Linked DNA regions of Coturnix japonica. The protein of the gene in region 2 purifies or fractionates together with the protein of the main gene of each other region. This does not show direct contact. Links are inferred from orthologs where the notes say so. Each region holds a gene or a part of one and is shown on either strand. Other genes may lie near its edges. The genes, in order: VAPA and OSBPL9.

Evidence for each region.
Region 1: the proteins of OSBPL9 (region 2) and VAPA purify together in Homo sapiens (co-immunoprecipitation; 5 studies listed by BioGRID and IntAct, counting the BioPlex papers as one, with this or other methods). This does not show direct contact. The link is inferred for Coturnix japonica from reciprocal best matches to the Homo sapiens genes OSBPL9 and VAPA.

What each region holds. Positions count from the first base shown.
Region 1 is NC_029517.1:88,648,530-88,653,081, reverse strand, and holds the start of VAPA (vesicle-associated membrane protein-associated protein A), read left to right. Parts: upstream 1-1,524; 5' UTR 1,525-1,656; coding exon 1,657-1,732; intron 1,733-4,552. UniProt on the Homo sapiens protein: Endoplasmic reticulum (ER)-anchored protein that mediates the formation of contact sites between the ER and endosomes via interaction with FFAT motif-containing proteins such as STARD3 or WDR44.
Region 2 is NC_029523.1:21,539,733-21,544,279, reverse strand, and holds the start of OSBPL9 (oxysterol-binding protein-related protein 9), read right to left. Parts: upstream 3,012-4,547; 5' UTR 2,980-3,011; coding exon 2,869-2,979; intron 2,397-2,868; exon of another isoform or gene 2,393-2,396; coding exon of another isoform or gene 2,378-2,392; intron 1-2,377. UniProt on the Homo sapiens protein: Interacts with OSBPL11 to function as lipid transfer proteins.

The DNA.
Region 1 (4,552 bases), on a different chromosome or scaffold from region 2:
CAAGTTCAGAGTTGGCGGAACCGAATAAACTACCTGAATAATAAACAGTGGAAAAGAGTATTATGAAACTGAGCCTACATTGATACTTCTCAGGCATAAAGAAAACTCATTTAATATTTAATAGCAAACAGCTCTGAAAAATGTCAGGCAGTCTCCAAACTGAGATACTATAACAACAATGATGCTGAATTCACAATGTGAATAAACATGAAGATCTACAAGCACACAGGACAAATGTTAAACTCACGTTAAGCAAATGTTAGCTGCCTGCAAGCAGTGATACAGATACTAGAGACACCTCCGGAATGACATACTAGGAGAGTGGTTAGGCCCTGGAACAGGCTGCCCAGGGAGGTTGTGGATGCCCCGTCCTTGGAGGTGTTCAAGGCCAGGTTGGACGGGGCCCTGGGCAACCTGATCTAGTAAATGTGTATGTTTGGTGGCCCTGCCAGGCAGGGGGGTTGGAACTACATGATCCTTGAGGTCCCTTCCAACCCGGGTCATTCTGTGATTCTGTGAATGACATCTCACTGCAATTGGTGAGAGGTTTTGCTACTGACTGCAACAGAGTCAAGACAGCCTATTTAAAAAGAGAAAGGAGAGAACCTCTGGAGGTATTTAGAGTTTTGCAGCAGCTCCTCGTATCTCACAGAATCACAGAATTGTAGGGGTTGGAAGGGACCTCTAGAGATCATGGAGTCCAACCCCCCTGCCAAAGCAGGTTCCCTACACCACGAAATTCTTTGAGAAAAAAAACTCAGAAATTCTTCAGGTATATAACTACCACATAATTCCGGGGCTGAATTATTGCTTCAGAGAAACACTGTGGAGTAATCTTTGGTGAGTCCACGAGAGAAGAAATTCCATCACCCACACTCCGATCTTGCATGAACTCACCCAGGCCTTTCACTTTTCACCCACTCTTACCCTCTCTCCGGCAGCTTCAATGACACCACACTGAGACGCCAGGCAGAGCACGACGCCACATCACCACACACCACCCCAACCTGGACTACAGAGCCCACCAGGCACCGAGAAACACTACAACCCCCAGCGGCGCATGCGTGTGCCCCGGTGGCGCAGTGGTAGCAATGCCGCGTTGCAACACTGGAGGCCCTGGGTTCGAATCCCCCCTGTGGCGCAAGTGGTAGAAGTGCCGCTCTGCTACACAGGGCTCGAATCCCGGGGGTTGGACTCAATGATCTCTCAGGTCCCTTCCAACCCGCACAACACTGTGATACTGTGTGATGCGCAGCGCTCCCACAGCCCGTTCCCGGAGCGTGGATCCGCTCCTTCCCGCTCGGCTCCGTCGCAGGGCTCCCGTCAGGGCCGGCGACCGGCGGTGGGGGAGCGAGCGAGCAAAGCGGGAGGGCGCATGCGCACAGCAGGCCCGGTCACTGCCGCCTCCGCCCTCGTGCCCGCGGAGTGGCGGCGTTGCCGGGGGCCGCCGGTGCGACGTGGGGAGCGAGCGGTGAGCAGCGAGCAGCGCCGGGCTAAAGAGCGGCTGCACCCGCCGCAAGGCGTAGGGAAAAGCGCTACCGCCGCCCGGGCTCCCCGTCCCGCCCCTCGTTCTCTTCCTCCTCCTCCTTCTCCTCCTCCTCCCCCTCCTCCTCCCACCCTCCCCCTCTCCTCCTCCCGCCGTAGCGAACGAGCGAGATGGCGGCCGCCGGGGCTCTGGCGAAGCACGAGCAGATTCTGGTGCTCGATCCGCCCACCGACCTTAAATTCAAAGGTGAGGGGCAGCGGGGCGCCGGGCGGCCGGGGCGGGGGGTGTCCCGCTTCCCTCGGCCGTCGCGAGGAGCCTCACCCCGTTCCGCGGGGCCGGGCCCTGCCCGCTCGGGTCCCTCGAGGAGGCCGCCGGCGCCGGGGTGGGGGGGTGCCGCCGAGGCGGGGAGCGGGCTCGGCCGCCGCCATCTTGCGATCCCGCGGCGGCTCCGGCGTGTCCGCGGCCCCGGCAGCGCCGCGGCCCGGCCCCCGGCGGGCACCGCGCCCGGTCTGCCCGCACAGCGGCTCCGGCCGCCCCCTGCCATGAGTGCCTACACGGGCGGCTCTGCTGTCAGCTCCGCCGGCGCTGAACGCTGCAGGTAGGGGCGGGAGGGAGGTCCCCGGGCTGAGGTGTTTTCGGGCATGTCACGTTTGTCGGGTGCGCCGCTGTCGGAAGGGGCTGCGGTCGGCGCTATTGGTGTATGGGGTGTTATCCCCTCCTCACCAATCACTCCATTCCCACAGCTATCCCAGCTGTGGCTCCTGCAGAGTGATTCTGGAAAGGTGTGTGTTAAAAAGAGCCAAACGCAACGGCAAAGCAAACGTGCTAGAATGAGATGTTGCTCATATGCTTAGCTTACATCTTTTGTAGCTGGTGTCAACACTCGTACTTGCATAATCCCGTAAGTGTTGGTGTTTGGTTTTTATTAGGCTCGTTTTTCATTGTTTAAGGGGCAATCGAGCATCCTGCCCTGTCAATTTAGAGAGCTGAACAAGCAGAGCAGGTTGATGTTCATATCAAAGACAAACACTATTTCCCCCAGATACTTTTGTCTGGTCCTGGCAATAAGACTGAAGTCTGCTTCATCAAAGGGGCTTTTCACAAGCTTTACCTGTTTTGGAGAGCCATCAAATCACTTAAAACAGAAAAAAAGGAAGAATTCTGTCGTGTCACGCATCTTAACTTCCTAATAGCTGCAGTTTTGAAATTGCACATCCAAAGGTACAACCAAAACCACAGTGGGAGCTTATGTATTATGTTAGAATATCTGCACCTGGGTTTCAATGCGCTGCACTCTTGCAGGAGCAGGTTGAAGCTCCTGCATCTTGTGTTGTCTTCAAGCTGGAAGCAAACCGTGTTTTTGTGTGGTTTGAAACGGTGTTGGTGACAGTGAATACAGCGAGTACTAGACGTAGAAATTGTCAGGATGAAGCTATTGTCAGACAGTGATCGGTGCTGTCATGTGTTTACAAAACACGTTTATTAGGCACGAAGTTTGGTTTCATGCTCATGCACATGGTAGGAAAATGTTGAGCAGATTGAGCGAACCTGAAGTCTGAAGTGTAATGGAACTGCAGTGGGACACCATGGCAAGTGCTCTCTAATACTGTATTATTACTGTAATACGCTACAGCAACACCTACCTATTTAAAGAGCAGCTGGTGCTTTCACAGAATCACAGAATTGTAGGGGTTGGAAGGGACCTCAAGAGATCATCAAGTCCAACCCCCCTGCCAAAGCAGGCTCCCTACACCACCTCACACAGGTAAATATTTTCCACCTGCTTATTGTTCTGAGGTCTTCAGAAAGGTCTGTGGGCCACAGGTAGTCATACAATTCTGAAGTGTTGAATGGAAGAGTTCACTATTGGCTGAAGAGAACAGCAAGTATTATCTTTTGAAACATAATTGGTTACTAAGAGAGTGCATGACTCAGAGTTTCTCAGCGTAACTTCGATGTAGGAAAATCATATGATCTCTTTTTTTTTTTTCAGTGTAGTTGGTTATTCAGAATTGTTTACTGGGATGGTTGTCCAATATTGGTATTATCGTCCTAATACTGTTGATGTCCGGCCATCAGAACAGAACAAATAGCTCCATAGGTTTTCTTGCCTCATTCAGTGACTTGTAGAGAATTTGCCGACCTTTAGGGTAGCAGTGAAATGTGTTAAAGTGCCCTTTTGCAAACAAGGACTTAAATTAAAGGGTTGGTAGAACTTATGTGAGGAACACTTGACAGCACTTAAAATTCATCAGCACTGTCTGATGAAGCTGTTGTTGGCTCATAGAGAAACTACGTGCTGAATTTGATTCCGCACCTTTCAAAAGGAGCCTATAAACTTGTCTCATCGTGGTTAACACGCTGTGTTTGCTTTGGTGTCAGAAAGATTAGAATCCCATTCTTGTAGTACCTGGCATTCCTAGGAATCCACTGATAGCGCGTTGGTGTTGGGCGATTCCCTCTGCTGCTGTGATAGCTGCGTTTCTTTGGGTTGTGGGGCCATCAGGGATGCCTAAGGGGAACCACGAGGCAAATGTATTTTGGAGCGTTGTGCAAATGTGTCAAGAGGAACAGAATTGTCTGTAGGTCTCGTTTAAGGAAGATTATCATCATTTGGAACTGGTTCCTTGTGAGTAAATACCTTGGTTTTTTTAGATCTATTTTAGCTGCTGAACAGTCATGTAGTGGAATGACGACGCTTGAAGTTTTCAAGTCCAAACTTTCTAGTTTTGTGATGGAAACTCAGCTGGTCTTCCTGAAATCAAAAGAGACAGTGATGTAATTGCAAGTTAACTCACATTTAGGTTGTTCTTAGAAAATGGTTCTTTTAAGAAAAAACATACTCCAGATTTTTACCCCAGACATAAGACCTGCTTTTGCGACATAGAATCATAGAATTAGCCTGGTTGGAAAAGACCTTGAAGATCATCAAGTCCAACCGCAGCCTAACCAGAACCCTAACTCTAACAACCCTACACTAAATCATATCCCTGAGCACCACATCCAAACGGCTCTTAAACACAACCAGGGATGTCAATTCAACCACCTCCCTGGGGAGCCTATTCC
Region 2 (4,547 bases):
AAGCCTGAAGCAGTTCCAACAGTACCTCGAATAGCTATAAAGTTTTAAGTCCTTTAACAAACTGCCCTCCCTGTGTCCCGGCCTTGCTGTTAGTGCTGTTCGCACAGCTACGCCAATTCAGCTTTTCATACAATTAAAATATTTATTTACAGAATACAGATGAAACGTGAATTTTAAATCAGACTTTCAACCTCAAGGGGCTCTCTGGATTATTTCTACAGGATTCCCATGGGCAGTCACAGCTCGGGCTGTGCATTTAAGACAGCACTGCTATCCGAAAACACAACAAAAAGCAAATTGCTTTCACCTCCCTTTTCCTCCATAGCGATTTCTTTGTCTCTGCCAGCACAAAGCCAACACATGTTTTCACACTGACGTGCAGAAAGAAAACCACAGAATGAACTCAACTGAAAAAAACAAATCAGCAGAAAGTTTCTCAGCTGTAAACCAGCTTAAGGAACAACTTTACAACTCCTGTGCCAGCAGAGATGATCTATTTGGAGGCTTTCCTTTTAAATACTGTCAGTGCCTCCAGCTACATCCTGCAAACAGCACGGTGCTTCATAGCCTTGTATTTGCTTCACCTCTAAGAGAAACGGTGGATTCACAAATCAAAGCATGTCACTGTTAATCTCTCAAACCATTGGCCAAACTGATCCAAAATGGGATACATTTATTTCATATTTGTTTCTTCTTAAAATGAAAACAAAACAACGACAATCATTTACTGCTGCTGGACAAGTCATTTATCTAAGCAAAACCATGTAAAGATGATCAATAGTTGGATAGGAGTCCAGGCCTTTTACTCTCTGGAATATATCACTCATAAATAAACTCTCAGATACAATTATAAGCAAATCTGAGGATGAGAACTGATGAGAAATGTATGAACACAAACTGCAAACTACAGAAAAGGAAAGCAGAGAAGAGCAAACGATGTAAGAACTTTTGCCTTGATCCCTGAAGTCTTTTATCGTGTCAGGAATGTAAATGTAATTGAGTTCATTTGTTCCTCGTCTACGCATTCAAAACATATTTAGGTTAATAACTACTCAAGTTAGCAAAAGAAAAGGCATACTAATTTAGATGCAATACTGCTGTACAGCAGCTGCTTAGATGCTCATTCCACATGGACTCTTCTGCAGCCTATTTTACGCTATTACACAAGAAGATGAAATACAGCCATGTGAGGACACGCCAAGGAACAGATCTGCTCTTCTGTACCTCTCTAGTGAAAACTTCAGCTGCATCAGACAGGAACGCCTTGCAGCTTTCCACAGCTCCCCTGCCAAAGTCCAGCTGCCTCTTGCACCTGCTGGAGAAAGCTCCTGCTTGTACTTTTTGGACTGAAATGGGCTAAGGGGTCTGTAAGAGGTGACGAGAAGGTAAAAGTAGATGAGTTAAATGTAAGCTCTCCTGTCAGCCAAGTCGTTTCCAGGTGCACACCTACACAGCCAAGTGGAAACAATCTCAACATACCCCACCCATGCATTATACACATCAGGAAGGGCTGGTTTCAGGTTCAAAATCACGCAGCTGCACCTACACGCAAAGACTGCATTGCTTCAAGCTGAAACTGGCTCAGAGCAAACTGTGTTCAGCTGCATGTACCTGATCACACAGGTAAGCTTCTATTTCAAAATACAAGCAGACGTACACAGAAACACAGGCAAAATCTCTGAATGGCCATTTCCTACACAAAGCTCCCAAACTCCTAATGTCATTATTGCTTATTCAACACAGTCTTTGAAACTGACATTATAAACTGAAGTACTTTGCAGACCAATACAGAAAGCGTTCTGTAGGAACATTTAACTGCAGGACTCCGTGGCACAAAGCAGGGAGCGTGGTTTGATTTTCCGATCCTAAGTAGAACTTTTAGGGCAGGTAGGTTAAAAAAAAGAATGTTTTAATCTGAGAACTAAAAGTCATTAGAATGACAGACATGCTAAGTTATATTGAAGTGCAACGTGTATGTAGGGATATCTAACCATAGGAAGTAATGAGATTTCAGAACTGATATTCATTAAACTGGTGAAGACCACAGTCAGAAAGTCGCTGCAGTAACCAGAATCATCATCCACCAGTCATCAGTGACTGCTTCTATTTCTACAGCTGAGCATGAGGAGACTTTGCACCTTGGACCTTCACCTCAAACAGCTGCCATACAAACAGCCATTAAAAAGCTATAAAGGTAGCTCTATTTCTCCACCATATCCCAGATGCAGGTAAAGCAGGAGTTTTGAATTAGGTTTTCTAAGTGGATAATGCTGAATTATAAACTCGTGGAGCTGTGGAACTAAGCCTTGCCCTAACAGAGATGGACATTCAGAATGAGGGAGCATAAGTTTTACACGTAGCCGTACTGTGGAAGTACCTGTAACAATGCCATTTTAACACAAGGAATACACCGTGTGACTGCTGTTTTACACAACTTCGCGTTCAAAAGCGGGAAGTTCTCGACGGAAACGTCAAGCCGACGTCTTAGTGGCAGCTCCCTGCTGCTGAGCCAGCGAAGCGGGCACACGGCGCTGCCAAGGAGGTGCCGGTGCTGTGTGAGCACCCACGGGCCGGGACGGACCGAACGCCCCCTCAGCGCCAACGGCCGCTCCCGCCCAACGGCCCCGCCCCCGCGCCGGACACCAACAATAACAGCGCCGCTCGCCCCCACCCATAAATCTCCCCGCAGCGCCACCCCATTGGCCGCTCCCGCCGCCTCCTCCTTCCCCATTGGCCGCTCCCGCCGCCTCCTCCTTCCCCATTGGCCGCCCGAGCGCTCACACCGCCCCGCGTCCCCTCCCCGCCCCCACCCTGCTCCTCAGCCCGGCTCTGGGCTCCCCGCCCGCCCTGCCCGCCGCTGCCCCTCACCGTGTAGTAGGAGAGGAGCCCGGCGTTGTAGTCCAGCACGAACCAGCGGTACTGCCAGCCCTTCATCACATTGGTCCATTTGCTCAGCGGGCCCTCCATGATAGACGCCATCTTAAGCACCGAAACCGGCACCGCCGCGCGCACTGCCCGTGCGGTGAGGGGAGAGACACGGGGAGAGACACGGCGGCGGCCGGGAGGGGACGGGGCGGGGCCTGCGGACACGGCGGGGCGGGGCGGGGACGGGGGACGGGCCTGCGCGCGCAGCGGGACCGGGAGTGTAATGGTGGGGCGGGGAGAAGGGGGGGGAACCGCTAATAGATGTGGTGTGATGTGATGGGGGGTGTTGGGAGCACAGCGGGAACGGGGACGGGGAGCTTGGGTTTGTGAGTGTCCGCAGTGGGGCTCCCGGTGAGCCTCAGAGGGCGAGGTGTCACCGAGGGCTGTGTGGGAAGGGCGTGATGCTGTGGTGGTTGGTGGCTGTGGTGGTTGATGCTGTGGTGGTTGGTGGCTGTTCTGTCAGCTTTCCTTTGGTTGTGTTTGTCCCCGTGTCTCACAGTTCACTTCACCTCTGGGTCTGACCCGTCAAATCCATGTGTTCAGGTCTGCCACGACTGGTGTGCATAAAAGCATCCAGGGTGTGAGGTGAAAATGGCACGCGTTGGCTTCAGGGTCACCTTAAGGGTAACGCTCATGGGAACAGCACACAGCTTTCCTTCTGTCTGCTCCAGCGATGTGGAATGCATTCCCCTGCAGCTGTGAACAATGGTAAATCTCCTGTTAAAGGCGTGTTCTTTGGCTCCACTTGAGCATAAATATGTAATTTCAGCTGTACTTCAGCACAACATCTCTCTTGACATAGAGCTACTCATGCTCCTCCCTAGGGATGGACCCAGTTGTTTCCCTGGTTGTGAAGAAGAATCAGTCCAAGGCAGTCTCTGTGTCTGATTCCATTGTATTTTTTTTTTTGTATGTTGTTTTGTATGTTTCTAATACACCCTCCCATTTCACACATCACATTGCTCACTAGTTTGTTACCAAGCCAAGTTGGTAGTTTTGACATTAGAATGCACCTGGTGCTGTGTTTATGCGTGGTGTTACCAGTTGAATCTAGCTAATACCTGAGTCCATCTTGAAGTCCAGCTTGCTCATTTTGCTAAGTCCTTTCCAGGCTGCCTATGACCTCAGCAGTCCTCTGTGTTTAGTTTCACTGACCCAACAAAGCAGGGCTGCCTGGAGATTAAAACAAAAACATCAGATGGTGCCAGAACGTTACCAGCGCTACCATTTAAAGCTTCACTTGGGTTGGAGCTTTATCTCAGATCATGACTTTTGCAGTATTGTGCCACAAAAGTTGAAGCTATGCAAAGAGCTTGGCTTAACTGTGAAAGGGCTGAATGTTCTCAATTGGAAACTCAACTGAAGGGCTTTCGGTTTACCTTGTTACGCCATAGGCCGAAATGGCTAAGCTCCATCATACACTGGGTAGCCCCAGCTGTGGTATAACTTGCCTTTATGTACCCTTTGTATCACATCATCACCACCATCAGTTTCAATGAACTACTTGAAATAGAAGTTAGCCAGTTACTTCCTTCATTGATTAATTTAGTTTGCCCCAAAGTGTTCTGTCTGTATCTTGCTGTCATCCCACATGACTGGACACCACAGAGTTCAGCAGAGCT